Drosophila melanogaster: one gene and its partners. The protein of the gene in region 1 interacts with the protein of each later gene in a pairwise test. Each region holds a gene or a part of one and is shown in the gene's direction. Other genes may lie near its edges.

Region 1 (7,609 bases):
TATTCATTGATTTTGTCAATGATTTAACGTAAAAGTTACCAAACAAATCGAACGAGAAGAAGCAACAGTCTTGCCACACAATTAATATGCAACGCGGCCGAAGCAACAGGGTTTTTGGCTAAGAAGTTACGGTAAATTGCGTTTGCCTGGTTTTGCATTGGCTAAATATTGAACGTATTACTTTTTAAAACATTTGATCAATTTATACATTTACCTTTAGTTTAGTTTTGATGTTACTTTACTTACGAAACCTTTTATTATTCTATTATTAAATATATATTTTTTTTTATTTTCAAACAGTTAAAGCAAAACGCAACAGGATTTACCGTTGCAAGCCCATTCTTAATTTATAACCATTCACTTTTAGGCAGGATCTATCATGTTTTTTTATCCATTGTTTATGTTCAGCATGTTTACAGTTAATCAGCTTGCAAAACTGTGCGGTCGTGTGCTTCAAATTCAATGATACTCTGCGCTTTTCCGCTATGTTTAGCTACATATATACATATCTTACTTTGCATTTACCTATGTATTTCTTGAGAACTGTTTCGGGTTTTGTGTTTTGTTAGGCTTTTTGATTCGAACACTTGCAAAAAATAAAACAAAACTTAAATCGCGGCATTAGCGCGTGCGAGCGAGATGGCGCGTTGGCACGCGTGTTTACCGTTGGACGCGTGTGCCGCTATTACCGTTATAGCCCCGTTTTCGATTCCTTTTTCAGCCGCGCTCTGCCAAACGATTCGTCCTGGTCGACGACATGCGTGCAAATAAACGAGTAAATGCCGAGCGACGCGCTGCCAGCCAGAAATGCTCCACTCATTCTGTTCTCCCCCATTTCTCCATTCCCCCCTTTTTTAGCACCACCCCTCCCAACGACAATTTCACTCGTTCTTTCCACCGAGTTGAGCGCAAAGCAGCAAAGAGAAAGAGAGCCGCAGCGAGAGAGAGAGAGAGAGAGTGATAGAGAGAGAGACTGAGAGTGGGAGTGAGTTTAAGCCAAAGCCAAATCGCGTTTTATTGGGCGACAAAATTGGACTTCTTCGGATCGGTCTCCTCGAAAAAGAGCTCCAGAAGACTCGACTTGAGCAGCTGATCCCCATCCAGGCGCTCCACGCCCTTCCAGCGTATAAGGGTCGGTATGCCTTCCACCGAGTATGGCGGCTTTCGGAACATGTTGTCCTTGCCTATCCAGGATTCCCGGCTACCCACGTCCACCACCAGGATCATGCAATCCGCCGGCGCGTGGTTGCGAAAGGCACTCATGATAGTTTCCTCGGCTGGAAAATATCAGCGATAATGGGATTAACTTAATGTATGTCACTTCTTTATGTTATGTTATAACTCTGCGATGAAATGAATCGAAATGATGAGGACAATGTACAATGTAGATGGAACTCTCAATGGAGAGCGAAAATCAAATCAAAAGTAACTCAAGTTAGCTGGGTAGAAAGTAACTAACTGAAACCCACAAATGAGAAGCGTGATAAGCAGAATGTAGAGTGCCCAACTGGACTAGTAACGCCCCGCTGGGCGAGGAGAATTCGTCACCTACCCGCCACGCAGTCCGGACACCAGCTGCGTCCGTCCTTGTCTTTCTCGCCGTAGAAGTAGATGTAGATGGGGCTGCGCTGGTTCTCGTACAGCTTGATCAGATTTTCCATCTCCTTGAAGCCCCGTGCCGGCACATATTCGGGCATTTTGGCAGTGTATGGGATTTCTGGATTAAAAAAAACTTGGACGTCTTGAACGGCGAGTTGGCTGGTGTACAAGTAAATTCCGATTGCGGCGATTTCGATGCGGATGGCAAACCCAAAATTTAATTCCAATCTTATCTGGATCTTATCGCTGGGTGTTACGGATCACTTAGCCGTTGCTTATCGGCCATCGGTAAGTTTATCGGGTAATTAATGGCGTATAATTTTGTTGTTTGCTGTGTTTTTCGATCTGTTTTGTTTTCTTTTTTTTTTTTTTTGCGGCAAGCTCCAGCAACTAGTATATTCACCACACTGCCTGTCCAGCGAACCCACCACAGCCGGCTGTGTGTGCGTGCTGTTGGGCGCACCGTGGTGAGTACGGCACTGTTAACCGTTTATCGAAACTCGAATTTTGTACTTAAATCATTTGAAGCAACGATAATTTTGACATTTTTATGGCATAAATCTATAGGATTGTTGAGTTTAACAAATAACAAACATTTAAAACTTCGTTCAAGATACATATCGATAATCTGTATTTATATTTCAAATGTTGGCCGCCCAATATTGATTGGTATTTCTGTTAAGTTCCATAAACAGCGCAAAAAATACTAACTTAACGAAAAACAAACCAAAAAATGAAAATTAAATTAAATCTATAATTAGATTAAAAACCAAAGCTTTGCTTATGTTGAAATGTTTGTTAATATTACCATATTATAACTTGTATAATTTGGATAATAATTGCTGTTTAATCGGCCGTTTATTTATGTTATCCATTATGTTATTATAATCATAACAGTTTCATTGCAGTTTGGCGGGATATTTAAAAAGATTTTGGAAAGTAGTTTAGAACGGTAAGGTAAACTTTGTGCAGCTCAAGACACAACTTTTGGGTTTATTGATTACGCATAATTTTCGGAAGTAATTCTTTTTCTTTCTTCTCACTTTCCTCCAAATGAATGAATTCCACTCGCTTTGTGTGAAAATTCTGCTTAATCAGACTTAACCCTGACACAATTTTGCCGGTTCTCACAACTTGAACTTCGTTGGGGGCCGACTAAAATGGAAGACCGAAATCTTGAAAAACTGCAAGCCAAGTAAGAAAATGGCTTATATAAAATGGATGGCGCAAAGGCAGAAGTATTCAGTGTTTCCGTAGATACCAAGATGGGTAAGCTTTGAAAGTAATATTAGCTAAAGAACACATTTCATATCGTATATATTTCATATATCAGGCGCCTTTAAAAATTCCCTGCTGCTGCTGACACTTCTGCTAGCCATCCATTTGGAGGCATCCAAGATAGTCTACAAGAAGCCGCTCTATGGCAATAGCAACATCATCAAGGACAAGCGTATAAAGACGAAGCCCGTCAAACTGGAAACCAGCACCATGAGCAGCACTGGTGTTGCAAGTAGCAGCACAACAGCCGAAGAGGATTGGCCCACGGCCGTTGAGTTTGTGATTATGACAACGCCCGCAAGCGAATTGGAAGCCAGCACGGAAACCATTGGTAACAATGGCACCACCGAAACGACCGTTGGCGAGGCACCCATCATCGGATCGTCGGAAGGATCCACACGATCGATGGAGCCAACCACCGCGAGTCCGCTGATGAGCACAAACCCATCGAGCAGCAGCAGTCTGGTTAGCACCATTCCCTTGCCACCGACAGCGGGACTGCCTGTGCAGGATAATCAGCCAGTGCCGTGCACATGCGGCGTCTTCCTCTCCTCGCAAATCCCAAATGGCTTGCCGACAAAGCCACTTATCCACCAGGAATTGGATCATATGTTTCCCTGCAATGCCATCGGTCGCAAGCAGTGTCAAACCAAATGCCTAGAGACGGTGAGTACTGGGGAAACGAGGAGGAAAAGATGAGGAGAAGCGCTCTATAACTCACCATTTCGTCCATTTTAGATCGTACAACATCTGCCGAATTCCGCAAATATAGTATGCTCCGCACTGGGTCACGATTGTCACAAGGAACGGGCCTATTTGTTCATCAAGAACTGTCACAATCAATGGGTTAATACCAATCTGCAGGCGGGCAGGGAGTACTGTTGTCGCTCTGGCGTTCCCTACCGTTGCCCATTGATGGGTTAAGCACTGTGCAAATGAAATAAATATATGATATGACAAAATTTCAACTGTATTGTAAATGCGCATGGTGTTAAAAAATCTAAAAAAAAAAGCAAAAAAAAAGCTAAGGTGTGCACATAAGGGTTAATAGATTTCAAACGGTTTGGTTCGAGTCCGGACTATATTAGTCCAACCGGTTGCGTTCTTTGCTAGAGAGTACGTATTTTTTTTTTTTAAGATAACAGTATATGCGTGGCGTTTTTAGGCTCAATACCAAACACAAGTGAACTGGCTACACTGACATTTTTGACAATAAATAAATAGTTGAATTAAGGAAATCAAAGCGAGAAATACTTTTTTTCCGGAGCCAGTAAGCTAACATTAAATAGGTACGTTCCGCAATTGTTGTAATCACTTGCAACGCCAATAACTAACCATTTTTAAAGCCCGAACAATGGTTTGCGTGCCCTGTATTATCATTCCACTGCTTCTGTACATTTGGCACAAATTTGTGCAGCCGATCCTGTTGCGCTACTGGAATCCCTGGGAGAAGAAGGACGACGATGGCAATGTGATCAAAAAGGGACCCGACTTCCCATTCGAGTGCAAGGGCGGCGTTTGCCCCTTCGTTCCGGGCGGCAAGAAGACGGAGAACGTCAGTGATGACGATGCCGAGGAATCTGAAAATCCGCCATTGAATGCAACAGCAATGGCAGCGGAAACGGAAGTGGACGAGTCCAAGAAGGAGATCTAGTCGAAATGTTCCAAATATTGTAATTTAACACATAGTACATTTTTTTTTTTTTGTTATGTTTTGACATAAGAGCGGAAAACACAACGCACACAACACAAGGACACAAATCCAACGTGGTGGGCGGCGATCGTTTGGTAAAGGAGGGGGAGGGGGCGTGGCCCTTGAAGAGCGGCAAGAACGTCTAAAGTATAATTAACTTGCAATTAAATGTACACTTTGACACGCGAAAAAACTGCTCTTTTCCTGCGGGTTTGTGTGTGTGTGTGTCAAGAGTTAAAGGTTAAAGGTTAACTCCACGCAGTTCCAATATGAAATATGGTATTTAAACTTTGTTCCAGCTGCAACAACGCAGAGCTGAAAAATTCGCCTTTATATGTTGTATATGTATATAATTAATGAAATAAACACACGGCTTTTAAAATAATTATTTAATATTTATTATTTATGTCAAAAAGTTTGCAGTTTCGTTTTGCTGTCTGGCTGTTTAAGTTAGGAAAACAAATAATTTTACAATTTACACATTAAAAACTTACACACAAAATATAGACGAAAGAAAGCAATACCGTTCAAATTAAAATTAATGCAAATCGAACGAGAAAATTCGTATTTTGCAGTTTTCTCTAAGTGTGTGCGTTTTTTTTCTTTCTGTTGCATATTTTTTGAAAATATCTTTTCATCAACTTAGATCGTAGATCGTCGAGTGTCCTTATATATATAGTAAACTTGGCTGGTTACTGTCTTTTTCGTGGTTTTTTCCTTTTTTTTCTTCTTTTCTTTCTTTCTTTCAATTAGACTTATACGTTTCCATTGGTGATTTTTGTGTAATTTTTTTTGCAAATCCTTTTGTATTTTGTATGTGTCAACTTAAATCAAACAGTTATGAGAATCTTTTTACAGTTTAGCTTAGTCAATATGTAATAATACATAATAGTCATAATAATAATAATAATAATAAAAAAAAAAAACTTGGTGTAAAAAAAAAGGTTCGATGCGGTGTACGGTCTAACAATTTTGTTTATATAAGCACTTCAGTTTCAAAACCTACAGAACTACGAAATTTATGTATTTATATATAGCATGTGGGGCCATAATTAATAATGTAGAATTCGATAAAAAAAACTTAGCGTAGTCTTATGGCCTAGTGATATAATGGTCACTTACAACTACAAATTGTCCCACAAACGTTTAATCGATCCAATCAGAATTTGCGCTAAGTTTAGTTGCTCATCTTTTTATGTTGATTCTTTTGTTTTTTGTTTTTTTTTTTACTGGAAGCTACGATGACGTTACGACAATAAAATAAAATGCGCCACAAGACGAGCTCTTAACTGGTATATCTATGAGTAGATATACATATATCTATATCAATATCTATATATATATATATATATGCGATCGGCGCGCACTGTACAACAAGCATTAAATAAAATTTAAGTTACTACAATTTATGACGCTTCTTCCGCTAGAATTGCGTATTTCGCACTAACATCTAAAACTTATAGACACACTCAAAAAAAAAAAAAAAGAGTCGTTGGAAAAAATACATAATCCGTAGAGATTAGAGAATTACAATATATAGCATATTTTAGATCGAACTTAGCCGCGGACTCTTTAAGAGTCCCCTTTTGCTGTTATCCTTGGCAAGCCATCCAATTATCCTTGCGCGATATTCAACATACCAAATCATCCAGATCACGGTCAAATGTAGATGGCCTCGGAACCCTTGTTAGCCTGATGGCCACCGGATATGTAAAGATTATTTGCCGCCGGCGACTGAACGCCCTCGCTCCAATCGGAATTCGATCGCGGCGACGAGGAGGACCAGTGGCCAGGTGACTCCGGCGAGGGCGTCGGATAGCTATCCAACGTTTGGACCAAATGCTGCGGCGTATGGCCGCCGGAATGTTGGCTCGAAGGCGTTAGGTACTGGTAGAAGGCCTGCTGATTGTGCTGCGACGACGGCGACAACATATTGGTCGACGGCGATGAGCCGGACATTGAACTTTGTATCGAGGGCGGATTCATTTGACCCGAGTGAAATGAGTCTGCAAGTTGGGATGGTAGAATGATTAGTTAGCTAGTTAGCTAGTCCATAGAGTCCATCATGAGTGACCACTTACCCGGAGATCCACAAAATCCATTCAGGTCCAAGCCCGCTGAACCGAACTCCAGGCCTCCGAGTTGCTGCTGCTGTTGCTGCTGCTGCTGTTGCTGCTGCTGTTGCTGCTGCTGATGTTGCTGCTGTTGCTGTTGCTGCTGCTGCTGCTGTTGCTGGGGTGATATCGTTTGCATTATTGCACTATTCTTCGAGGATTGGGGCGGGGCGAGCATGATGCCCATATCGCTGCCCGTCGGCGAGATGATTCCCAAGCTTACGGGTGAGTTTTGTGGCCCCTGGCCAACACCACCACCACCACCTCCTCCTCCGCCGACCACGCCCCCGCCATTGGCACCGCCCAGCAAACTATTCAGATTACTGCCACCGAATTGCTTCTGCTGTGTGGCATGCCTCATCGCCTGAATGTGGGTGGGCGAGGTGGGTAGACTGGGTCGCGACTTGGCCGGCGATGGCGAGCCTGTAACAAGTAAATGGAAATAGATTAATACATAAAAACCCATTTGTAATACTTCGTAGACTTGAAACTCACCCAAGTAGGCGTGGGGCGATAGCGCCAGGCTGCTCTGCACCGAATGCGGCGGCGACTGATTCGAGTACGGCGGACTCAGTCCCTGTTCGTGGCTATTTCCATTGCCGGCTCCACTCAGACCGCCCATTCCGCATAGGCCGCCGGGCAGAACGCCGGGACCGACTCCATTTCGCTGGCCATTACCATTCATCCCGAGTCCTTGGCCATTGAGCAGCTCCTGCTGAAATGGCGAGCCCATCGAGTAGGCATAATTATCCAGCTTGATCATATCCAGACCATTGCCCTGCAGCGATTGCATCGATTGCGCATTCTGCAATTGTAATATGAGTGCATTTAGTGAACCACCCAATCCCACTTCCACTTCCACTTCCATCGTCACTCATCTCACAGTCGACTCCACTTACCTTGATGCAATCCTCATAGCTCGGCG
Region 2 (11,028 bases), on another chromosome or scaffold:
CTTAAAATATTCATCTCGAAAAGGGGAATTTTGTTGTATTAAAACTGAAAAATTAGAAAACTAGGCTAGTTTAACATAGGTTGGTGGATCGATCCATAAATATGTCATTTATTATATTAAAACATTATCATATGGTTAACAAATTAAAATTATTCCTAGAATTAAGAATTAATCAAAGGACTATCATAAGATAAACAGATCTTATGACTTTCCAATGATTAATTTTTGCTTCTAAGATAACCATATAGTATCATTTAATTTAGCAAATCTTAGGGTAGTTCATATTCCGATCCCTTTGCCTTTTCTGTAATTCAAGATAATATGAACGGAGTTCCAATCGACGCCTTTGGGCCATTGCTTTCTGCATAAAGTTTGTTTCTCGTTGATTTTTGTCTAAAAGGAGATTAACTATTTGTTAGGATAGAGATACAAGATTGACTAACTTACCCTCCAAAAGCAATTTGCATAGATAGCAATCACATTTTTTCCTTTCACTTAGACGACAGACTTTAGCATCTGGAGGCGATTTCTTCATTTCCGATTGATAAGTATCCATTTGGTCCCTCCAGATTTTGTCCGAATATAGACGTACTCTAACGGGTTTCCGCGGATGCATTTCCGGCGACATCTTATCCGCGGAAATCTTGGGTACAAGTTCTTCGTGTGGTGCCAATATTCTAATCAATGAGGGGTACTTTCTTTGCGGTTTACCTTTATCCACCGCCTGGAATCCTTTAGTCGGTTGCATATTACGGAGTCTGACTATATTTTCCGTCACAAAATCGCGTGGTTTCTTTTTGGGTCGAAAGTCTTCGCGAATGGCAACCTCCTTCATCAGTTTATCGATCCGTGCCTGCACAGATGGTCTTGCGTTGGCGTAGAAAGACTCCCGAATCTGTTCCCGCATATGCAAATCCATGACAGCTTGACTCTCGCGAGTTTTGACCTCCTGGCTCGTCCTCCTCAGGGACAGGATGCTCACGAGATTATCATGTGGTCCCAAGGCATATTCATGCATCCGGGACTTGTTCTTGGTCCGCATCGACTGGGATTTTTTATGGATTTTCTCATGGACTTTCTCTTCCTTTGCCACACCGGCTATAATGTCGTTAATTGTCTTTTTTATGCCATCAACTGGATCGTAGTCCTCTGGAAAAGTCGCGAACAAGTGTGCGTCCGCATCCGCATGCGGTTCGTCCTTGTTGTGCTCTTTCTGCCGCTTAGGTATCAAAGATTGGGCAATGGCCACAGTGCTGATTATCGATCCTACAGATGGTTGGTACCTATCCGATGACGTCTGACTGGGAGTTCTGCCATAGTAAGTGCTTTTCTCGCTTTTCAAATAGGAAATGGGATTCTTCGAGTTCATCTGGTTTAATACTTTCCGATCTGCCATTGAATCCTTTATGTAGTAATAGAATTTCTTGAGCTGAATCTTCCGTCCAGGAGTGGGGGCAAAGCGTTTCCTCAAAGAACAAGTTGATCCGAAAGAGAACTCACTTGATGTACGAGATCGGTTTGTGCTCTGAGGCTGGGACGTGGACTTTCTATTTTTGGTCTTTGCAGCCAATGGAATTGTATCCGAATTTTTTGAATCTCCCGCTTCCTTGGCCACAGAATATTTCCCAAAAGCTTGCAAAATTTCTGGCTTTGTTATAACAGATATTTGGTGATAGGGCCGCATAACTTTGGTCTTTTTCGGTTTTAGTACTTTCTCAGATGACTGCGAAACTACAGGCTCCTCGACTATTGGTAGATTCTCATAAAGCGAAGTGGACATTATGGGGTCCTGGTCCATCCAGAACGAATTACTTGTGCTTTTTCCGACACGATTTATTCGAAAATGGCTGGTTAAAGCCCGGTTCAGCTCTGGTATGATCTTTTCCTTGCCACTTAGCATTTGTCCAAATGGTTTGGAGTGATTTTGGTTCTTATTATTGACTTTCATATGTCTGTAGGTTTTGCTATCATGGAGTCCATTACTTGGCTCTAGATCTTTATCTGTCTTAGACTTTCCTGTGCTTTCCTTCTTGTCTTTTTTGGAATTCAATAAAGTCCTGCTTCTTAGGAAAGGATGATCTTCGGGCATCTTCATATCGCCGTCATTTAATAGCTCATCAAAGGTCCTTGTTTCAGTCCTCCGCCTGTCCTTTGGCTTATCTTTGGATGCCCAGGAAAACTTGGAGGAATGTCCAAGGCGATTAGATGACTTTAGAATTGGATGAAACTCAGAAATTTTGTTAGCCTTACCCTCGAGCATTTTATCAAAAGTCTCGGTGTACGGAGCTGAAGTTTTTCTCCGGTCTGAAGTACGACGTTCTTCGGGAATTTTCAATTCGTGCATACTCCTCAGTGTCGTATGTTTTTTGGATACCTCTCGATTTACCTTTCCTAGCAAAGAGCTATAGGGTTTTGAACTGATTTTAGACTCATTGTCCTGCTTAGTCATCCGGTAAATGCCCAGGGATGTGTCCACTTCCATTGTTCTCCTTAGATTGTTCTTGGATACCCTTTGTTTGGAAAATTGGTTAAACAGGGCTTGCTCTGAATTTTCAGAAAATGGCTTGGGCTTTTTCGTTTCTACAGTTGCTTCAAGTTTCTGGGGCTCGAAAGCGTTACGAAAATGATCATCATTCCTCTTTTCAAAACGATAGGTTGGTCGAGTATTTTGAGTTTTCTTTAAGTCAATTTTTTGCTGAAATTTGTCCACACCTTCCCGTTTATTGTTTCGATTAATAGTGTCATACTTTTTTGAATCCTGACCTCTTACGTTGTCTTTAAGCTTTCTTCCATGTTCCTCGTGCCGTTTAGGAATTTTATTTGAGATTGTAGGTTTTTGGGCATCGTGTTTATCATACTTAAAAGATGTGCTTTCAGATAATGTAAATTGAAGGGAGGGTCGTGAAAAGTGAATCTTGCGGCTCACCGATGCTTGTGGTCTTTTAGCTATTGATATCGACACTGCATATGGGTTAATTGTTTCACCTTCCATTTTAGCAGGATTTCTTCTGTTCTTTTGTTTTCCCGGTACATGATTTTCTTTGTCTTCCATTTCAGATGAAAAATTTGTATTTCCTATCAAAGCACTATCTTCCTTATTCTTACAATGAATTGAATTTCGTTTCTTGCTATTACAGCAAATTTCGTAGATCTCTTTATCGTTGAGTTGTGGCACCTTTGGTCCATTATAAAACAATATATCTTGGGAGCTCTGCTGTTTAAAATGAAATAAGGAACAGATTAGGAAGTTGTCAAACGAGTATTTATAATTTGTGTTTTATCATATTTTATTGTTTTTGAAATGCTTGATTACCAACATCACGTACCTGAAATTTAGCTAGACTCCCAGAAATGTTCCTATTTAGCGCACAAAAATTTTTTATCTTTTGATGTATCTGCTTGTACGGATTTGACAGGCAGTTGCACCAGCAGATGTTCGTCTTGTGAAACGCAGCCATTGAATGAGTTCCAAACGCAAGAATTCTTACAACAATGAATTTATGGTGCTTCCCCCACAATCGAAAGTTCCAATTTGAATTAAAACTCAATGATGGTCACACTGGCCGCGCTTAACAGCACGCTGTAGCTGAACAGCCTAACAGTGCCTCAAGATAAGGCGCTTAGATTCTTCCAGCTCTGAGATACTTTTTATTTGGCAAGAGTCCTGCGCGCTGGCAGTCGAAATTGCGTTGAGAGCGAAGCTGGCAAAAAGTAAAAGTGAAAATCAGGCCCTTGAAATTTGTTCATCAATTATGCATTGATTGAAACACGAGCGAGTGCTGTGAATTGTCTTGTTGTGTGCGCGCATAACGGAAAGTGAATTTGAAAAGCGAGTGTGCAAACACACAAGCATTGCGTACAAAGATTGTCATTCCGTTCCGTAATCCATAATTGCGTGAAGACACTCGAGCGCACCCACCCACACCACGCACGGTATATTGTATATACACATATACACACACACAGCAGTGGGCCAGCCGCCCCCACATTGCCCTTGGCCCCACGGACCCAAGAAGCGTTCGATTTTTCACAACAGCCAGCGAAAACGCCAAGCGGAGAGCGCCCCAATAGCAAGCAGTGCAATCCGGACATCAGAGACCCATCATCACCATGGACATGCTCAACCAGATACTCAGCATCAATAACGGTGGCGCCTACGGGGGCGGCAAGGCTGGCGGCGCCTTCGACCCCCTCACGTTCGCCATGAAGCCCCAAGTAGTCATCAGGGCCTTGTGCTGGGTGAGTTCGGGTTCGGACAAGCTGCGTCCGGGGAATCGCTGGGATTTGTGGACGCACACGCCACTCACATGACCCGATTGTCACACTGTTTACACCGCGCATAATTCATGAAGTAATGCGAGGGCAGAGTTCTTCTAGGACCTTTTACATAGGATCTTAACATTGCTTAGCTTTTCGTTTAAATATACATGTTCTTAAATTCATACATATTGCGTAAGCCAACTCCGTGCTGCTATAATGCCTTCTAAAGGCTTAAAATATTGTGATCCAAATATTAAAGGAATTTTCTTTAATTTATTTACAAACCCTTAAGTTTAAAAAATTAATAATTTAGAATGACAAGAATATATTGCCTTTTAAAAATATATCTAGCTTATCTAGTTTTTCTTAATTCAAACTGAATGAAAATATAAAAACACGTTTAAGATCCCTCTTTTCCCAATGCTTTTAATAAAATTAGGTTTTTATAAATATTGCTTTTAAATTGCGACCATAAAAGTGACCTTTATGTGCCATTCCGATTAAATGGCTAGCTCGTAAATGTGGCAGAAAACGTGCGTAATTTGAGAATCTAAGTAAATCGTGAATGTTGCCACATAAACGCAGTGGCACTCAAAGGTCCGATTTGTTTACACCCGCTGCAGAGGGGCGCAGCGAGGATATAGTGGGAGTGCTCTGGTGTTCAGCTGCAGAGGGACTATAAAAACTCTCACGTCCATGAAAGCTTTATAATTAAATGTGGTAAGGTGCCCGGGCAATTGGCCACTAGGCTTAGGACTTCATTCTGCCATCGACTGGATGTGCGTCAGCAGGGAAGTGGGAAAACGGTATAACCGAGGGGGCGTTTAGCTCACCGCCTGTTTGCGATGGTATACGTAATATGTGCCCACGCTGTTGACCAAGGACTCTGCGATTGCAGAGCCATTCCCGCTCTTTTCTTCCTGGCCAAACAAACCAAACTTGGCCTTCATTCCGCAAATTGGGTCACAAACATAAGTACGTGTCTGCCGCGTTGTCTGTGTACTTGAACTTCTGGTTTGTTGCACCTGCTCAAGAAAATCAATAATGGAGTGCGAGTTCTATATCAGCATAAGAAAATGATGATGTGAAAATCAAAATCCGAAAGTTGGATTAAAAACCTAAGTAAGAGCTTAGCCAGCAGAAAGTGTTAGTAAACTCGAACCTACAATCACGTAAAAAGGATGTTCACAAGCTTTGATGTTCATACTTTTATAACAACGTTCTGGTACTTTCATTCACAACACACAAAAGTGATTGAAATTAAACTGAAACGATAAAATTAAAATTTTTAAAACAGGTCAGCTTTATAGTTGATTTAATGGCACTTTGAGTCATTTTCAGCTCTTCAACATTTCTGTGTGCATACAAAAGGACCATTAAATGTTAATAGGCGCCCTCATTCATTGGGAATTCTCTTGATTTTTCCAGCTCTTCTCGGTGGTGGTCTTTGGCTGCATATCCTCGGAGGGTTGGACGGAGAAGGATGGCAAGGAGTACTGCCTCTATAATGGCGACGGCATGGCCTGCAAGTATGGCAACATGGTGGGCGTCTTCGGGTTCCTGGCCTCCATGGGTTTCATGGGTGGCGAGTTCCTGTTCGAACGGATGTCGTCGGTGAAGAGCAGAAAGCGTTATGTCATGGCCGACATGGGTTTCTCGGGTAAGTAGTTCTGGCCAAATATGCATATATTCCTCTGACAGCACATAACTAATGGCAATCCATCGTCGCAGCCCTCTGGACATTCATGTACTTCGTGGCCTTCTTGTACTTGTGGTCGCAATGGAGCTCATCCGCCCCACCGCCGCTGGGAATCGGAGCTGGCAGCATGAAGACCGCCATTTGGTTCTGCCTCTTCTCGATTGTCAGCTGGGTTAGTAGATTTCTGCATATTTGGTTGGAGAAGTTTCCTGATTTTTGGGCTTCTTTCTGCAGGCTCTGTGCGCCCTGATGGCTTACAAGCGTTTCCTGATCGGCGCCGGCGATGAGTTCACCTCTGCCTTCGAAACGGATCCCGCCAACGTGGTCCACCAGCAGGCCTACGGCTACTCCATGGACAACGACAACGACCAGTACAGCGCCTCACCATTTGGCCAGCCCCAGCAGGGTAAGTTCATGGTCTAATACAATGCCAAAGTATAAGTTGGGATATAAGATGGGATATAAACTTGCCATTCCTAGATCATTATGTACAATATATTGAAAGTACCTAATCATTCTTAGTTCTTAACTGATGTTAACCATTATAATATGTAATCTGATGATTCTCCCACACTTGGCACCTGATTAATCTGAGTTTTTCTCCCGCAGGTGGCATGGAGCAGCAACAATCCGGAATGGAGTACCAGCAGCCCACCTATTAAGGAATTACCACACTTGCTCCTCCGTTGTCCGCACACACTCACTTCGATTTTGTAGTGCAACTGGCAAGGATTTACACGACTAAACAGCTACAACACACAAGTTGGCTTTAACCATATACACCGATGTCGAACATATAACAAGAGTAACCAAAACAATAACACTTGATGCAACAAGCAGGCAGCAAAAGCAGCTGAAACCAATCCAAGCACTGGCTTTAGCTATTGGAAGAGTCAAGGGATATATCCAAACCGATCCGATCCGATATGAGATCGGATGGGATGAGATGGGATGGTTCGGATAAGGAGTAGTTTGAATAACTCGTAAGCTAGCCCTTTAAGTTGAGTGTGCAGTTTTTTGTAGTGGAAATTTGTTGCAATATATATATATATATATATATATATATATATTATACAGATATACAACTAGTTATATATCCCATATGTATACATGCAGACCGCGCTTTCAACGTTGTTAGTTATTTAGTGTTTACGTGTACGTACCATTTGAATTGATTTGAATTGATTTGTTTTGGTGCCAGACCCTGGTCCCCCCGATGATCAGCTTGTTAGCAATGGCAATAGCTCGAGACAGAGGAAAACATGATGTTTTTTTAGATAAATTTACACACGTGCAGTGCAAATAGTTGATGCAAATAGTTGATGCGATTCGGCCACCTGAAGGACATACATATGTACGAACCACACTGCTCAAGCCACATATCCAATTTACCATCTGAGATTTACCCAACAAATATAGAACCTGTGGCCAGGGTCGATGCTTGGTTAGATGAGCAGCAAATGCAACCACTTACAATAAACGCCAAACAATATGTAAATTCTAAACCATAAGAGATTCAATAACCGTAGAATTGTTGTGAGGGATTCAGTACTCGGGAGATTACTGCAGGAATATTTCTAGTTATGGTTCGCAAAAACACGCTGAAGATATGAAATGGTATAGGGCTTGTTCAAGGCTTACTGTTGCCACCCCCTTCCTACCAAAAGATTTGTATAGTAACTATAAATGCCCCAACAATACCCATTATGCATTGTAAAGAAGCGGTGTGTTGTCCACTTCGATGTACTCAGATATCAATGAATGTAAACATATTGATTACATAAAAACGTTCACTTAGTGCAGCAACTTGCGATAACCTACAAATGTATTTGTTAAATTAAATACTATATACATATATATTATATATATTTACGGATTGTATGTGTAATACGAATAATGCGCCCTGTTAAATGCAACAAGGAGATAGGGATCTCAGCAAATATACAAGTATAAATTAATCATTTAGAGTTCGTGTGCGTTATAAAACAAAAAGGTAGTGAAAGAAACATAAAACAAAATTTACTCATTTAAAACTTAATGATCGATTTAAATAGCGAACCCAGCCATAAAATCGGCTTGAACATTTGCGAAACACTATTGTAATAGATAAACTCCTCAAGCAAGATTCTCAACTGGACAGCCCCTCAAGAAATAATAATAAATACATATTTTTAAAAATTAACCCAAAATCACTAAGGTATTCTCTTTGCGTTAGTAGCAATATTTTTGCGTGTATTTAAAAGGTGACAAACATTTCATCTGAAAATGTACTCGGTACAATATCTTATCATCTAGTTTTTAAAAAACATTTTTTTTGTATTTCTTCTCCTTGCTTATTTTTGTAGTCGTTTCTTCTTTTGAAAACTCTGGAGCTAAATTAGGTCGTTGTTTGGTTTTCCACTCTTCTACAGTTAGATCACTCCACTGATTTATGCCCTTCTTGAAAGATTCCACTCCCAATTCGAACTGCTCATTGTGTTCCTGAATCGCTTTCCAATTGTCGCAAAATATAGTTCGGCGTTTTTCTGTTTCTTTTTCATCTTGATATTTCGCACCGAAATCAATCTGTAATAAAGATATATTCATTCAAATTCTCAAATTCTATTTACATTGCAAGCCAAATATTACCAAAAACTTTTTCCATGCTGCCTGACATGTATTATCATCCCTCTTATCCTTAGATATTTTTGTAGTAGCTTCAACTTTAGAAAACTCTGGATTAAAAGCAGGTCGTTGTTTGTTTTTCCACTCCTCAACGGTCAAATCACTCCACTGATTTATACCCTTCTTAAAAGAAATATTTCCCAAATCGAATTGAACATTGTGCTTATGTATCGACTTAAAGTTGTCGCAAAATACATTTCGTCGCTTTTCGGTTTCAGTATCATCTTGATAAGACGGCTTAAAGTCAATCTGCAATTGATAAAAGCAACTTTAATAAAAATTCTTTAAATACCCAACCATATCTTACCAGGAACTTCTCCCAAGCCGGCTGGCATATGATATTATCATTATCTATTTCGGATGTAGATGTAGTGGCTTCTTCCTTACGAATCTCGGGAGCAGGACTAGATCGTTCCTCAATAGTATGATCAGTCCACTGATTTATGTCCCTCTTGAAGGGCTCTGCCCACTTTTCATACTGCACATTGTGCTCCACAATCGCCCTCCAGTTTGCACAAAATACATTGCGGCGTTTCTCGGTTTCATTTGCATTCTTATACTGCGCTCCAAAGTCAATCTGTAATTCATATCATACATATTAATACCAAGTTGGTTTTAATAACCTAGCTAATCTTACCAAAAACTTTTCCCATGCAGCCTGGCAATTGACTTTGTCTCGCTCCTCCTTTGATGATTCACTAGCGATTTCTGGCATAACTTTGGGAGTTTGTTTCTCTTTCCACTCTTCAAAGGTAAGATCACTCCACTGGTTGATACCCTTCTTGAAGCTGACAACTCCCAAATCGTATTTCAAATTGTGATCGCGAACTTTTTGCCAATTTTCGCAGAATATATCACGTCGCTTTTGCCGTTCGTAGTCATTATCGTAGTGTACATCAAAGTCGACCTTGGAGTGTATACAAATAACTTCCTTGAACGATACCCTTTCTTGGAATTATGCGATCAAAAAACTTACCAAGAACCTTTGCCATGCAAACTGGCATTCCTCCTCGAACTCAGATAAGCCAGAGGTGTGTTCAATTGTGGGTGTCGATGAGTCAGCGTCGCTTTTCCCAGTAGTAACCCCAATCTCTGGATTGATTTTTTGTGTAGCAGGTGATGATGTGCTTACTGGTACGCCCAGAGCCACGCCCATCAAATACAGGAGCAGTGGGACGCCAAGTAAAATTCGAGCTGAGGTCATCTTGAACACTTTTCTCGTACTGCGCTCCGCACTGCCAGAATCGCGAATTATATGGGGAATACATACATATATAATTGCAAGTACTCAAAATCAGCTGCATTCAGAGAGAAATCTAAATAAAAACCGACAACGAGAGCGATTTCTTTTGCTCTCTTTTCTCTTAAGTGTTGATCTTTTAAAAGAGTAACTGCATTTACGTGACCTTGCCCACCAAATATATAACAACTGGCATAATTGCTTTATGATTTGTTGCAATAGTATTGAATTAAATTAATTTGAAATTTAAGCCCCGTTTTTATACCCATTACTCGGCGGGAATACTAGGCTCGTTGATAGGAATGTAACAACTACATTCTAGATATGTATGTGTTTTCCACACAAATGCTGTAAACAAACGTTACGCTGCTTGCAGCTTTTTCTGATTAACGGGTATGCATTAGTCGTGACACCCGACTGTAGCGTTATTTCTTGTTTATATTAAATTTGTCGCAAATTTACACGGTTATACGGTTATGTGTGCATTGTTCATTTTCTATCCACTTTGCCAAATTGAAATTTATTACTTTCTCAAACAACTTCCCACACAGCGTTGTTCTTCATTAAGAAAATGTTTCTCAAAAAATAAATAAGACCGAAAATTAATTTTTGTGTGCATAGCCGTTAAGACTACGATCCAATTTCTCAGAATTTCCCCAGAAAGCAACACAAACCGATAAGGCACTTGTTTCATTTATTAACCGCGTGACTCATGGAATCGATGTGGTGACCCACACAGCTTACGACTACAGTAACAAAGTTATAAATTCGTGGTTTTTAATTGACTATACTATCTAACTAATTGCATGGCGCAGTTGTGAGCCTACAGAATGGGGTAGCTGCACTCGCTGGCGATGCCGCAGAATCCACCTGCATTCCGGAGGATGCGCATAAAGCCGCCCTCGCCCCAATTCTGAGAGTACGAGTTCTTGATGATCCAGTAGTCGCGTCCATTTTCCGTTCCATAGCCCACCACGGTTACCGAGTGATTCAGTTCGCCCTGATTGCACTCCTCGTCCTCGTAGATGCCACCGCTGTACTGCTCAAACGAAATGGTGTCCGCGTTCATGGAGCACGCCAACGGTCCCAACGTGGCAATCACCTCCTTCATCTTCTCCTCATCCCCGGGAGTAATGGTGGCATAATCGCGAATTTTCACCAGACT
Region 3 (6,938 bases), on another chromosome or scaffold:
GATGAGATAGTCATAGTGAAGATGGAAGGCAGAGAATAAAAGAAAAAGGCAAAGTCAAATTGCTAGTGACTTGAAATGGCCTCTTCTGGGAATATTTAAGACTTTCTCTATATTTGATTATAGAGCGTAATTAAAGATATTCGTTTACCTGTGATAAGTTTGTATTTATCTATACTGCCGATAAAAGAAATAAATTCATTGACTTTTAGATGATCAGAATTTTAACTGTCTTGTTTTAAATTGACAAAATACATACACACAGTTATTATAGTGTAATTTAAAATTGGCTTATTGTAGTTCACTATTTACAATTATAGCTTGACTCTTTCACTTGCATTTTCTCATCTAAGCAAAAGTGCACATCTCAAATATCCTTAGACCCTGGTAAGCCACTGACCCTCGCTGACGTTTAACGACTATTAACCCACGACAACCCTTAACACTTGGCACCTATCGCCCACCAAAATCCTCACTCTTCCGCCTTTCGAGACCACCGGCTTTGATTTCTCAGAAGCCCCACAACCACCGTTTTGCACATATTTCTACTTAGTGCAACAACTTTAAACGGCAACTTACCAAAGTAAAGCAAAACTCAGATGAGGAAAACTGGGGGAGCAGAAAAAAGGAAAACTTTTACCACAAATCGGATTTCCTGCATCGATTTGTGGTCTTCGCACGCGCCTCGAACTGAAAACTAATGCATAAAGTAGATCATAGAGCAACGACTGCCTTTTAAAAGATCTCATCTCTTCGAAACGAGAGCGACCAGAATCCCAGCTCGATATATAAGAATCAAAGACAACGCACAACACGAATGCCAGAGATATTTCCCAAGGAAATAGAAGAGATTCTTGTGCTGGCCCCGCTTTTCCAAGAAGCCATCCAAAGCCAGAAGAAGGAAACGTGTGCGAGGCTGACAAGTTTTTCCCTTATTTGCTATTTGTCGGCCGCGCCACAAGCATATGGATGACATCGACGTTAAGTCCAGTTTGCCAGGCCGGAGTGCTCTTAAAGACTTTGTGGAGAAAGATTGGAAAATCAATCACATATCTGACTGAGAGATGGGGAGGAAAATTCGCTCAGGTTTTGGCTTTAAGTTTTACTCAATGGAAGTAAAATAAGTGATGAATGCTATTGAACTTTTCAAAAACTTTAATAGTTAAAACAGGATCATGATCTCATCGAACTCGTTCATAGTCCTTCAACATCCATTAAAGTGCGAACTATTAAAGTCAAAAGCTGCCTGTAACTTATTCTATTTATGAGCCCATCTTAACTAGAGAGCCCTGTTATATTCAATGGTTACTGGGTGTGGAGAACAAGTTTCGCCCGAAGTCAACGCCTGATTCCAGCATTCCACCTCCTGACAACGTGCCAAAATAGCCCTGAAGGTTTCTATGGAAGGGCCCAACTCCAAACTAATTGCCTGGGCACGCCTTTAACTTCTTCACAAAATGGGGAAGGGGATCTCATCAAGCGCCAATGCATATTCATAGTCATAACGAGATTTGAGGTCTGCCATGTTCACACAATCTTCCTCTTCTCCGCCGACTTGAGACATAACTCATAACTGCACAATTACCTGATTATTTTAATTAGCCTAAAAATAAAATTAAAATAAAAAAGTTGAGCAAGTGCAGGAAAAAATTGAGGTGACAACACATAGGAAATGTCTAAATATACGAACAAACGCTGGCGATAGCATAAATCACCGGCGAGGGGAAACAGGGAAACTGTAACTGCAAACAAGTTAATGAATGTATCTGTGGGATACATCTGCATGGAGAGAAAGACTCGACAAATAGAGTTGGCCGAAAAGCAAAAGGCGGCTATAAAAAGCGTTAACAAGACAACAACAGCAATTGGCGAACAATAAAATACACTTAGCAGCCGAAGAAGAAGCGAATAACCACTAAATTGCTGTTAACAATTCTTGGAGTGCCCAGCCAAGCCAGTCAGCAAAGGCAAATACATTTTTCTGTCTGCCAAAAGTGGGTCAGCAAGAAAAGCCTCCCCCTTTCCATTTTATAGAAGTCTTCAATGCCAGCCGCAAGCGTTTTCATCAGCCAACTCTGCAAACGCAAACTCTTTCTCTCGCGTGTTAGTTAGATTTTAACTACCGTTTAAGAAGTATCGTACGGCTACTCTCAACTCTTCGCAACTGAACTCCACTCCGCTCCGCTCCTCTTGGCGTCCATTAATCACCTTCAGTCGGTGCAAAGAGTCAATTCACCAGCGAACAGCCTGCCAAATGTGTTCCACGCAACTGCTCAATCTCCGTATCTTTTGGGTGCCTGGAACGAGGCGCACATTTGGCTTTTATCACTCGATCCGCACCAAATAAACTACAAAGCCCCTAACGCGAAAACAGAGAAAAACGTATTTGTGTTCCAGATTTTGGCGCATTTACGGCTTGCGTAAAAATTTCCGATCGGACCAGACCGAAGAAAATTCTGTTGCAGCTCTTAATGGGTTGTTGGATACAAAAACTCGGCGGGACATGAGAAAATAATCCGCACACACTGCAAATACTGCGAATAAATCACAGAAGTTGTAAACTCATTTGAAGTGCATTTGATTTGAGACAAGTAAGTCAAATATGATTCCTTTTACAAGCATAAACATTTTATTTATTCCCGTGCGATATCGATTGAGCTCTTTCCAAAATTTAACCGTGGTAGATGTGGTGTCCATAGGTGGGAACAGCGTAGGACTTCAGCACAGGGACATGCTGAACCACTGGGACATTCTTCACCACCGGAACGTGCTGCACCACTGGAACAGATTTCACCACGGGCACCACTTGGGCTACAGGAACCACACCGTAGGAGGGCTCAATGTAACCAGGAGCAGCAAAAGCCATTGCTACCAGGGCGAAGATCACAGCGATCTAAGGAGATATTTTGTAATATGAAAAATCACAAGGATTTACTTTATAATTTCGTGAACTTACAATGCGGAACATTTTGGTATTTTCTTAGTAATTTACAAACTTGACTTGGAGATATTGTCACTTGGATGCTTGTAGGACGACTGGTGATGCTGACCAATGGATCAGTTACTTTATATAGCCAAAAATCACTTCAATAACAACTTCTAAATGGGCAAACGTGTTTGGCCATAATTCTTCTGTTTAATTGAGAGAATGGATTTATCAGTTGACCCAAAGGTGCCTCATATAGGTCTTTTTTTGTGGACATGACCTTGGTTCTTGGTGATCATCACAAACGCGTGAAGACGATCGATATAATGACAATGGTCTTGGAAGTAAACAATAATAAGCACACGGATCTAAAAACAGCAAACAATTGAGAAGTCATTGAATGGGGATTATGTCCAAAGGTTAAGCAATAACGACCGATAACGGGAAGTTCGCCGCTGGAGATGGTTTCATACCAAATAGAATGCGCATTATTCGAAGATACCAAATTTAAGATAATTAAACTGGTTTGGCGCGTGGCGTTCGAACAGAAGTCATTTGTGGGCTATTTTCGGCTGAGGTGCTAACTACTATATATAATGATTCCACGGATGGTCAATCAACAACAGTCGTCCGGCTAACACAAACGTTCGATAACCACAAGTTAAAGTTTTTAACTCACAACAAAATACCAAAATGTTCCGCATTGTAAGTTCACGAAATTATAAAGTAAATCCTTAGGATTTTTCATATTACAAAATATCTCCTTAGATCGCTGTAATCTTCGCCCTGGTAGCAATGGCTTTTGCTGCTCCTGGTTACATTGAGCCCTCCTACGGAGTGGTTCCTGTGGCCCAGGTGGTGCCCGTGGTGAAATCTGTTCCGGTGGTGAAGCATGTTCCAGTGGTGCAGCATGTTCCGGTGGTGAAAAATGTCCCAGTGGTTCAGCATGTCCCTGTGCTGAAGTCCTACGCTGTTCCCACCTATGGACACCACATCTACCATGGTTAAATTATTGTAGCACAACCCCATTAGAAATTGACCCGACATAAATAAATTGCCAACCAAATCGAACTTATCTTTATTTTCTGGTATAGAGCGAGGATAAACTTTTGGGTCATGCCATCGGGACTGGCTTAATTTTTATACTTACAATTAAATGATGCATGTTTTTTCCTACATCAAGGAAATAATTCTCGTAAAAATTACGTACCCAACACCCTTTCGTGGTCAGCACTTTCCATTTTACACATTTTATAGCAACTAAAGTTGTCCGCAGACCCCAGTGGTTTCCATGGCTGACTGATTATTTTATGGGACATTTTGTAAAATTTAATTTCACCTCGCTCATTTTGTTATTTGCGAATAGTCACACATAAAGTCGTTAACAAGGCGGCAAGCTTCCAGGGGAAATTTCTTCATTAATCAGCGGAATAAAGTGACGCCTCTAAACTGCAGCTGCATCTTCTCCACCTCCCCCCCTCCCACCACCCCTTACCCGACAGACGTTGCCATTAAAACCCAATCCCAGCTCGTCTTTAATTTGAGCCAATTAAAGTGGCGACAAAGCAAAGCCTTACAGCCCGCTTCAAACACTCTGAGCCAGCCGCCTTTCCCTTTGGCTTTTTCCCCGGTTGCGGTTCGATCTCGTGTCGATGATGAACCTGAATGGATCGTACATTAATTTTTCATTGTTTTTTATTTGGGGCTTTATTCGGGTTATTAAATCGCTGGCTAGAAAAACTCTCAAGCGATTTGGTAAAACAAAAAAAAAAAATAACATCGAAATAAGCAGACAAAAATATAAAAATAAATTGTGTTCGAAAGTCAATTTTGTGAACAGGCTTTTTGGGCCTTTTTTGTGGCAGGTTTTGTTTTTTCTATTGCCAAAAGATTTATTGTTAGCGTTTTCTTCTTAATTTTCCCCACATTTCATTTCGGTTTCGATTTTCAGTTTCAGCTTTGTTTTTCAGCCTGCTGCTACCATTCAGGTTCCACTTCCTTTTCAGTTTAAAGTAAATTTCTCGGCCAGAGTTGGGCAATTTTATTACTCTATTAGGGGGAAAAAATAGTAATTTGCTGCTCGATTATGACGAAATCATTTGATCCGCTTCACATGTGACGTCGTCTTTTTGTTGGGCCTGTCTCTCCTTTTGTGTGGTTTCTTTTTTGTCTGTGGTAATGACTTCATCGTCGCCCAGCTACCCAATCCTATCCTATCCGCAGCTCATTTGATAAATTATCCAACAGTTTGTAATAATATTTTTCGTAGCCGCTCAGGGGGAGTTGCCTTCGATGCTTTTGTTTTCATTTTGTTAATTATCCGCTATAATTGTTAATTTAAATTATGAAGGAAAGTGAAACTCAATTGAACTTGAGAGACCCCCCCCCCCCCCCCTTCAGTCCATCTCTATCTCGTGTGTTATTCTCTTGTGGATTTGGGCGTGTTTCCGATCGATGAAGCAGAGAAATGTTTTTCGATCGTATTGGATTTGGAGTTAGATTCGCCCCAGTCAGCCGTTTTAGCCGTATTAACAAATTGTTTGTTTCAATGTTTCGATAATAGTGTAATCAAGTTACAAATAGCGTAGCTCTTTTTAGTGCAATTTCAAACACTCGTAGCTGCTTTTAGTACCTCGCGACCTTTAATCAACACCTCAACTGCTAAATGACTGCACGTGACTGCACATTACAATTCAGTTAGGCTCAAGTTCAACTGAACTACGCCAAATAAAATGGAAAGTTTATTTAAAGGTTCATTTAACGCGAAAGTTGAACTATAACCGAACCGAACTGGGCAGCAGTCGTAACTGAATTTTAAGTGGTCTTGCACTTAAACTACTTGAACTACTCTCCGACTGGGCTAATTCGGTGGTAAATGTTTTATTGCCGCCCAGCAACTGCAGCTGGCCACTTGGGCCGCATCCGAGTCGAAATTGGAGTCCAGACTGAAGCTGGAGCTGGAGCTGCAGCTAACTTATTGGGCGAAAGGTTACAGTCAGCAATTGTTATGCAAATCTGGCGGAGGGAGATTGCCGCGAACACAATGGACACCCATTCGATAGAATCGGACAAGCGGCCAGCCAGTCCAGGCCAGGCCAGCGGACCAAATCGCAATTCGAAAATCCCCATTCCGAATCCTATCGAGGCGAAACATTCAAACATGAAATTATGACTGCCATAAAGTGGAGCACTTCCTCGACTCCCGCACACAAATCGGAATTGTCAATGCGATTATATGGTCGCAGCGCTTAGCTAATCGCGCGGCCAGACTCCAAATTGCACCACCTTCACTTTTCCTGCGGCTTTTCCAGGGAAGCCACGGCAACCAGGGAAAACAAACTCATTCCCCCCGCTTTATCATGCTGCCTGCTGCTTGTCTTGACCATTTTCGGAGGCCCAAGTTTTGCGGAAAACAAAGACATCCTGTCGTTTCAGGCGACAGGGAACATGAGTGCTTACACCTCGGTTGACCAGAACAGCGAATGCCTAAAACACTTTGCTTGCCCATTAGTTAGTCCATCAGTTCATGTGCTTGTTAAAGAGTTGATCGTCGATTACCATAGGATTGCAACCACTTAGTGGAGAAGGTACAATGTGGTTGTCAGGAATCTTGTATTGAAGTGTTGAAAAATTCAAGTAATTAACTTTGGAGAAACTGAAGTTTCTTGTCAGTTTCTTGTCCTTTCCAAACTTTTTTCCACATAATACAAATAAATTTCAAGCATCGGAAAAATATATAAGGAGATTGCAGCCAGCACCTTGGGGAACCAGCAAAGATCTCAGCTCGTTATGGCCATTGACATTGTCCGGCATCTGACAAATTTTTGGATTTTGCTTCACGGCGATCATCTCTCAATCTCAATTTTGGACCCAATCTCGATCGCCATCTTCCCCGGCTGCCAATCCATTTGGTCTGTGGCCAGTAGCTGTGGGGCTTGATTGCGTCGATCGGTTTGTGTGGAATTGGAATTGGAAGTGGAACTCTAGTTAACAGTTGAGACCTGGACACCGAATG
Region 4 (6,128 bases), on another chromosome or scaffold:
AGATATGTTGCACCAAACTAAAACGTGACCATGATGTTCCAGTATAACGATCCCAACGCACTTAGAAATCCCTCGCTCAACATGAAAACACAGTATATGAAACCATTTGAGGAGGGTTCCCTTCGCTTTGTAAAGCGAAAGATGAAGCCCATTTCTAGTGTCAGTCATGAGTCGTATGTACTTAAGGAGCTGCCGGAGGAACAGGAAATATTGCCTGTAACAATGCCCACTCCGGTGGTAGCCACCAAGCTAGTCATCGACCGTTCGGAGGCGTCCTTTAGCAAGTACCTTGATCCCTCCTCCACCACATACAATCTGTCGTATGTGCGCTGGGGTCCCGAGGACTTGTGTGGCGGAGTAGCTGCCCACGACAATATTACATACTGGAATTGGACGGAGAAGATGCCGCCCATCCAGAAAGTGTCCCGCGAAGAGGATCCTACAATGTGTGACGAGGGTAATACGCATAATTGCCCAAAGCGACGCTGTGAGTTTCAAAACCTCACCAAACGAGTGCCGCATTCGGGAATGGTCACCGAGGTGCGCGCTAATTTCACGGATCCACAATTTCGAAGGGTTGAATTCGATCCAGAAGTTAAGCCCATACTCGTGCACGAGGAAGTCACTCCGTTTGCGGAGAAAAGCGAATACGGCATCTACGGATCGGGAGAACCAGTTATCAAATACGTTTAGTTCTCTACACATTGTTTTGACTTTTTGTCAAGTTAATCAGATCGCTAACTTAAATTATTTGCAATACTTATTGACATTAGAACGAATAATTTTATTGCATTAAATAAATTCTGGATATTATTTAGATGAAAATTTCATTCAAATGAGTTAAAGCTGTGGGGAAGCAGATGGTAGGCGGACGTGACCAGCACTTCAGCTTCGTCCGGAATTGAAGGAATGCAGTTCTCTTGCTCCGGCGGCGGAGCCTTGGCAATGTAGATAGGAATATCATTTTGGATGAACTCCAAAATGAACTGCCGGCAGACTCCGCAAGGTGTGGTAAACCCATCTGGGTGATAGGCTACCACAGCACCCGCCGTATACTTCTTCTCGCCCTCGCTGATACCCTTGGCCAGGGCACAACGCTCCGCACAATTGCCTGGAGTGAAAGCTACGTTCTCGATGTTGCAGCCCGCGTAGATCCTGCCGCACTTCGCACGGAAGGCTGCTCCCACTTTGAATTTGCTGTAGGGCGCATAGGCACATCGACGGGCAGAAAGAGCCGCCTCTAGCAGCTCCCGGCCATCCTCACCTGGAGATTACGGTTTGATTACCAATGGCAGAGGATTCACCATTATAGCCAAGCCTTACCAACAGCACAGAACGCTACTGTGTACTCCTCCAACATCTGTGGATGTGGCAGGTTTTCGGATTCACTAGCCCGACCCCTGTCGCCATTTAGACGCGCCTCCCTGCGTGCTAGCTCGCATAGAAATCCCTCCAAGGTCATCATATACTTTCCCAGTACCTTTCGAAGATTCTTCTGGCGCAAGTTCTTGATCTTACCGCCAGCGCACTTGGTGCCAGATTGCTCCTGGCGACGAGCTAGCTTCGCCTGCAACATTTCCAGTTCCTTCATCTTCTTCTCCAGCTCTTTTCGCTTCAGCTCATCCTGTAGGTCGCTCAGGTTCCGCATGTAGCGCTGAAGGAGCTTCCGCTTTTCGGACATTTTGCAGAACTTCAAATTTTTAAAACGAAAACAATTTTTGAAAGCCAGAAGCAAATGCTGTATCTGTTGGCAATTTGTAAAACACTAATGTCAAACAAATTATTTTCTTTTTGTTTCTTTTTCATAAAAATGATTATATTATATTATTTAGCGCCATTTGAATTTTTATTACATTTATTACAGTTGATGTTCATTAAGGCATTTAATGAAACAACAACAACAACTAAATACGTTTAAAATTTTTACAAATTAAGAATGTCGAAAAAGCTCGCGCGTTTTCGACGCGTTTCGGACGCGTTTTGAACGCGCCTTTATCGCGACATCGGTCTAGCCAGTCTGTCTTATTGTTCGTATGAACATCATGATCTCAAAAACTAGAATCCAAAGGAATTGGAAACAAACCTTATAAATTTGATTTAAAAGATTGCCACTACCACAATGATCTTTCTTATTTTCGCTACTATACAAATGGCGAAATTTAATCTCACAATAATTTGGTGTTTATGAATCAGAAGTTGAGTGCATTTATCACGTCATCACAAATCGGGGCATTCCCTGCATTGCGCTTAACGTCAGCAGTTGTCAATCCAAATTCGATATCTTTAATTTATAACCTTAATTTTGATATATAATCAAAAGCGATTAAACACCTTTTCCTAGAATCTTTCACTGTGTCAATCTTTCCAGCATTTATATCCCCATTTCCTATTCATTGATCGAAAAAAAAACATTAAACACTGCTAAGTAGTGTAATTTTCTTTATTGCAAGTGATTAGATCAAAATTATATTGATTAGAGGCAGCAAGGGGTTGAGAAACAACCTTTACCTAGCTACCTTCTGCCTATTTTCGGTTCTTGCCTGCAGTGGTCGTTACTTTCGATAGGTGTGAAAACTGCTCGGCAACAGATTAAAGATTGAGGTGCACATGACGGGATCGTCACTCTGCAAAAGTTCCTGCTTTTCAGCAATCCTCGCATCGATCGCCTGGGCCACATATATGGGTATATCCGCGTTGGCAAACTCGCGTATAAACTGACGACAAACGCCGCAAGGAGTGGTGAATACATTAGGTTCGTAGGCCAAAACAGCACCTGCCAAAAATTCGGTGGCTCCTTCGCTTACGGCCTTAGCAATGGCCGTTCTCTCGGCACAAGAGCCCGGCGTAAAGGCGGCGTTTTCCACATTGCAGCCAGTGAAGATCTTTCCATCGACCTTGGCCCGAAAAGCAGCCCCAACTTTGAAGCCACTATATGGAACGTATGCCCGCTGGCGCACTTGAAAAGCAGCTGTCAGAAGTTCTTGAACCGACGGATCTGGAAGTCGAAACAATGCACGCCACGCTCAAGAATTAAACTTAGATCTTGTCAATGAGTGTAAGGAGTATTAATTTATAACATTATTATTTTTAATATCATAAGAACCACTTTGAATAATTGACAGTCGTAGATATTTAAGGATTGTTCTCAGATTGTTCTCAATCTCGAGAAGGAATCTTACCCAGACTGCCGAAGGTCACAACCTCCTCATTCTTTTCTGGACGTGCGAAATTTTTTGTCAGATGTGTCATTATAGTTCAATTCTTTTGGTCAATAGAGGCACGCCTATTTTCTTAAATTTTGAATTATTTTTAGCAAGTTGAGTGCGTGTGTTTCTCCTTTGAACGTCCGATGGCAAATGGACGGTTTGTGGTGACGGCGGCGCCCGAAGTTGGCTATGCTGATAGCACTCTCCGCCGTGTAGTGGTGACAGAAATAAACATTTGGCCAATTCGGAGCGCGAGAGAGAACCAGGTATCAGGCTGATAAGCAACGATCGCGATCGCGGAGAGCAGTGAAAAACACAAACAGATGCCGTATCTCGTATAAGCTATTCAATCAACAAATAACGAGGGGTGGGTTTACAGAACATTATAAATGGGATGTCACATAAACTATTGCACATGGATTGCACCCTGTCCGGCTGGGCTGGGCTGGGATATTCTTTTCTATTTTCCGTTGGCGAAGCTAAAGCCGTTGGGCAGCAGTTGGAGAACGCTGGTGCAGAGCACCCTCAATGGAAGATTGGTCGGCTTGGCGGCGTACAGGGGGATGTCCTTGCCGTTGACGAACTCCGAGAGGAACTGCCGGCAGACGCCACAAGGCGTGGTGAAGCCATTATCCTGCTGGGCCACCACTGCACAAGCCACAAAGTCGCGTTTGCCTTCACTGTAAAAATGTGTTATTTTAGTTATTCGAAAGGACTTGGAGAGGATAATTAAGTATGTAAGAATTTAAGTAATAGTGTTGTCATTACAGATTAACATTCCTCATTGCTGTCAAGGGTTATCTCAATATATTGAAATCTAAGTTTTTAATCCAAGATAAGCTTTACTGTGACTAACGCTTTACTTTCAGTATTTCCTGTGGATAGATCTCAAGCGATGCGTATGTGACCCAGAGAATATTGACCCACTGACCTGATGGCCTTGACGGCTGCAGTGCGCTCTGCACAAATGCAGGTGGCATACGCCCCGTTTTCGATGTTGCAACCGGAGTATATGGTGCCATCGCTGGTCCTCAGGGCGGCTCCTACGGCAAAGTTACTGTACGGACAATAAGCCTGTTTTCTGGCTTCCGTGGCTGCCAGGATGATCTCTTGAATCGAAGGATCTGCAGAAAGGACCACAAATTATAGTGACATGGCAATGTTTCACGACTTCGTACCCAGGCTCTGGAATTCCCGTACATTGAGATCGTCTCTGGCACCATTGATAAACACCTGTGTCATGGCCAAGCGATTGTTAATGAATATTTCACAATAGAAGTAGCAGCTCAGCCAATAAACACAGCACCAGTTCTCACTTCCAACGCAATGGCAACTGCTGCAACAGCTGTTCGCTGCAGGGGCGTACACAGAAGTAAAGTTTATGGGGCTCTAACATTGCTGTTCCACAAATGTAGAAACATATTTCCAAATACATACCTAAATAAAAAAAAGAATTTGTCAACTTTGCGGAGTTGAAAATTTCGTGTGACTACGTTTGTACGTGGTCTCTGGATCCCCCTTTCAGACGCCTCTGCCATACAGCAATGCTTTCCAACACTGTCAATCTCCATGTCAATAAATACTGAGGTAGATGTGAGTGAACTGCGACTGCTTTATTTTCTCCTTATCGTACAATTAAAGCCCAATTGGAATTGTTAGCGACTCGTTTCATGGGCATTACGGCCGGGAAGACCGTGAGTGACTGTTCTTGTGGCTTCCCCGCACAAATATCAACCTAATACAGTGTAATAATGTCGACAAACCCAAGTCCGCAGCGGCAACAGTCCGAGGACGTTCAGATCTCGATGGCCAGTTCCGGAGGAGGAGCCGGCAATGGCGTTCCGGATAGACTGCCTCCGATCAACGTAAAGGACCAACGCTTCCCCTACTGCATCGTTTGGACTCCCATTCCGGTTCTCACCTGGCTGATGCCCATGATCGGACATATGGGCATTTGCACTTCGTCCGGTGTGATTCGTGACTTCGCCGGCCCCTACTTCGTATCAGAGGACAACATGGCCTTTGGAAGACCCACCCGGTACATAAGGTTGCACCCCAAGCACATGGTGGGCGGCAGTTACGCCTGGGACGAGGCGGTCTCCAAAGCATCTGTGCTCTACGGCACCCGCATCCACAATATCTTCTGTGACAACTGCCACTCGCATGTGGCAACGGCACTCATCTACATGCGCTACTACGACAGCACCGCATGGAACATGATTATCCTCAGCATGTGGCTCTTTGTCTGCGGCCGCTACGTCGGAATAGGGGGTTTTATTAAGACCTGGCTGCCGTTTGCCATTCTCCTGTCCATCTTCACCATTCTGGGCATCTATTTTTAATATTCATATCTATATCAAATGCTATCAATGTACAAATCTATGTACATATGACGTCCAATAAAGGATTCATTCATTTATGTATATGTGTGCTTTTTGTAGTCCCACCACAAAGCAGATAAGGAAAATACCTATCAGGCAATTAAGTTGGTCATTCATTAATGCTTCAGCAACTGTGAAAATACAGATTTTCAATTACTAGTGTTTAAGATAACGTTTATTCAGTGGATATGTCTATAGTTAGTACATATGGCTACGACTTAGTTTGGCATGTGGATGAACTTCAATTAATTCTCGATCGCGCGGGTGACTTCTTCGGCCACTTCAAGGAGTTTCTTCCATTGAATTAAAGATAGGGAGATGCCCTTCTTGCCGGGAAGAATTTGGCCGCCCTTATCGTAGAACTCTCGAATGTCCACCGATTTGCGACCGCGGAACTCGTTGATTCGCACCTGGCGAAGTCCTTCCAGGGTCCAAGATGTAGCACCATTTTCGCCCGAATCTTTTGGATCTGAATTTGGAGCATCAGATTCCTTCGCCTTCTTGCTTGCCGGCTTGATACGCTGAAAGAGGTTTTAACTTG

What was found.
Region 2: the proteins of CG18508 (region 1) and Syngr interact in a two-hybrid assay, tested with the Drosophila melanogaster proteins (one large-scale study listed by BioGRID).
Region 3: the proteins of CG18508 (region 1) and CG34268 interact in a two-hybrid assay, tested with the Drosophila melanogaster proteins (one large-scale study listed by BioGRID).
Region 4: the proteins of CG18508 (region 1) and CG8372 interact in a two-hybrid assay, tested with the Drosophila melanogaster proteins (one large-scale study listed by BioGRID).

The regions. Positions count from the first base shown.
Region 1 is NC_004354.4:3,169,602-3,177,210, reverse strand, and holds CG18508 (uncharacterized protein), read left to right. Parts: upstream 1-4,070; 5' UTR 4,071-4,166; intron 4,167-4,223; 5' UTR 4,224-4,231; coding exon 4,232-4,531; 3' UTR 4,532-4,943; downstream 4,944-7,609. Other genes in the region: CG3939 (uncharacterized protein), read right to left, coding at 1,015-1,277, 1,553-1,697; Fcp3C (follicle cell protein 3C), read left to right, coding at 2,817-2,868, 2,933-3,543, 3,616-3,801; N (notch), read right to left, coding at 6,230-6,576, 6,652-7,107, 7,180-7,489, 7,584-7,609.
Region 2 is NT_033778.4:13,838,877-13,849,904, reverse strand, and holds Syngr (synaptogyrin), read left to right. Parts: upstream 1-3,649; 5' UTR 3,650-4,110; coding exon 4,111-4,239; intron 4,240-5,688; coding exon 5,689-5,920; intron 5,921-5,991; coding exon 5,992-6,131; intron 6,132-6,193; coding exon 6,194-6,365; intron 6,366-6,568; coding exon 6,569-6,621; 3' UTR 6,622-8,144; downstream 8,145-11,028. Other genes in the region: CG30485 (uncharacterized protein), read right to left, coding at 1-14; CG30484 (uncharacterized protein), read right to left, coding at 260-393, 448-3,052; CG6357 (uncharacterized protein), read right to left, coding at 8,258-8,524, 8,588-8,872, 8,931-9,200, 9,261-9,530, 9,600-9,827; CtsL2 (cathepsin L2), read right to left, coding at 10,687-11,028. UniProt on the Drosophila melanogaster protein: Required for the correct formation of synaptic vesicles at nerve terminals and has a role in the regulation of the synaptic vesicle exo-endocytic cycle.
Region 3 is NT_037436.4:497,409-504,346, forward strand, and holds CG34268 (uncharacterized protein), read left to right. Parts: upstream 1-3,556; 5' UTR 3,557-3,616; coding exon 3,617-3,628; intron 3,629-3,691; coding exon 3,692-3,931; 3' UTR 3,932-3,992; downstream 3,993-6,938. Other genes in the region: CG34267 (uncharacterized protein), read right to left, coding at 2,669-2,890, 2,954-2,965.
Region 4 is NT_033779.5:8,211,539-8,217,666, reverse strand, and holds CG8372 (uncharacterized protein), read left to right. Parts: upstream 1-4,764; 5' UTR 4,765-4,957; coding exon 4,958-5,548; 3' UTR 5,549-5,628; downstream 5,629-6,128. Other genes in the region: CG8292 (uncharacterized protein), read left to right, coding at 43-693; CG8349 (uncharacterized protein), read right to left, coding at 828-1,264, 1,324-1,681; CG8353 (uncharacterized protein), read right to left, coding at 2,553-2,995, 3,180-3,249; CG8360 (uncharacterized protein), read right to left, coding at 3,667-3,886, 4,138-4,330, 4,385-4,448; Ssb-c31a (single stranded-binding protein c31A), read right to left, coding at 5,833-6,108.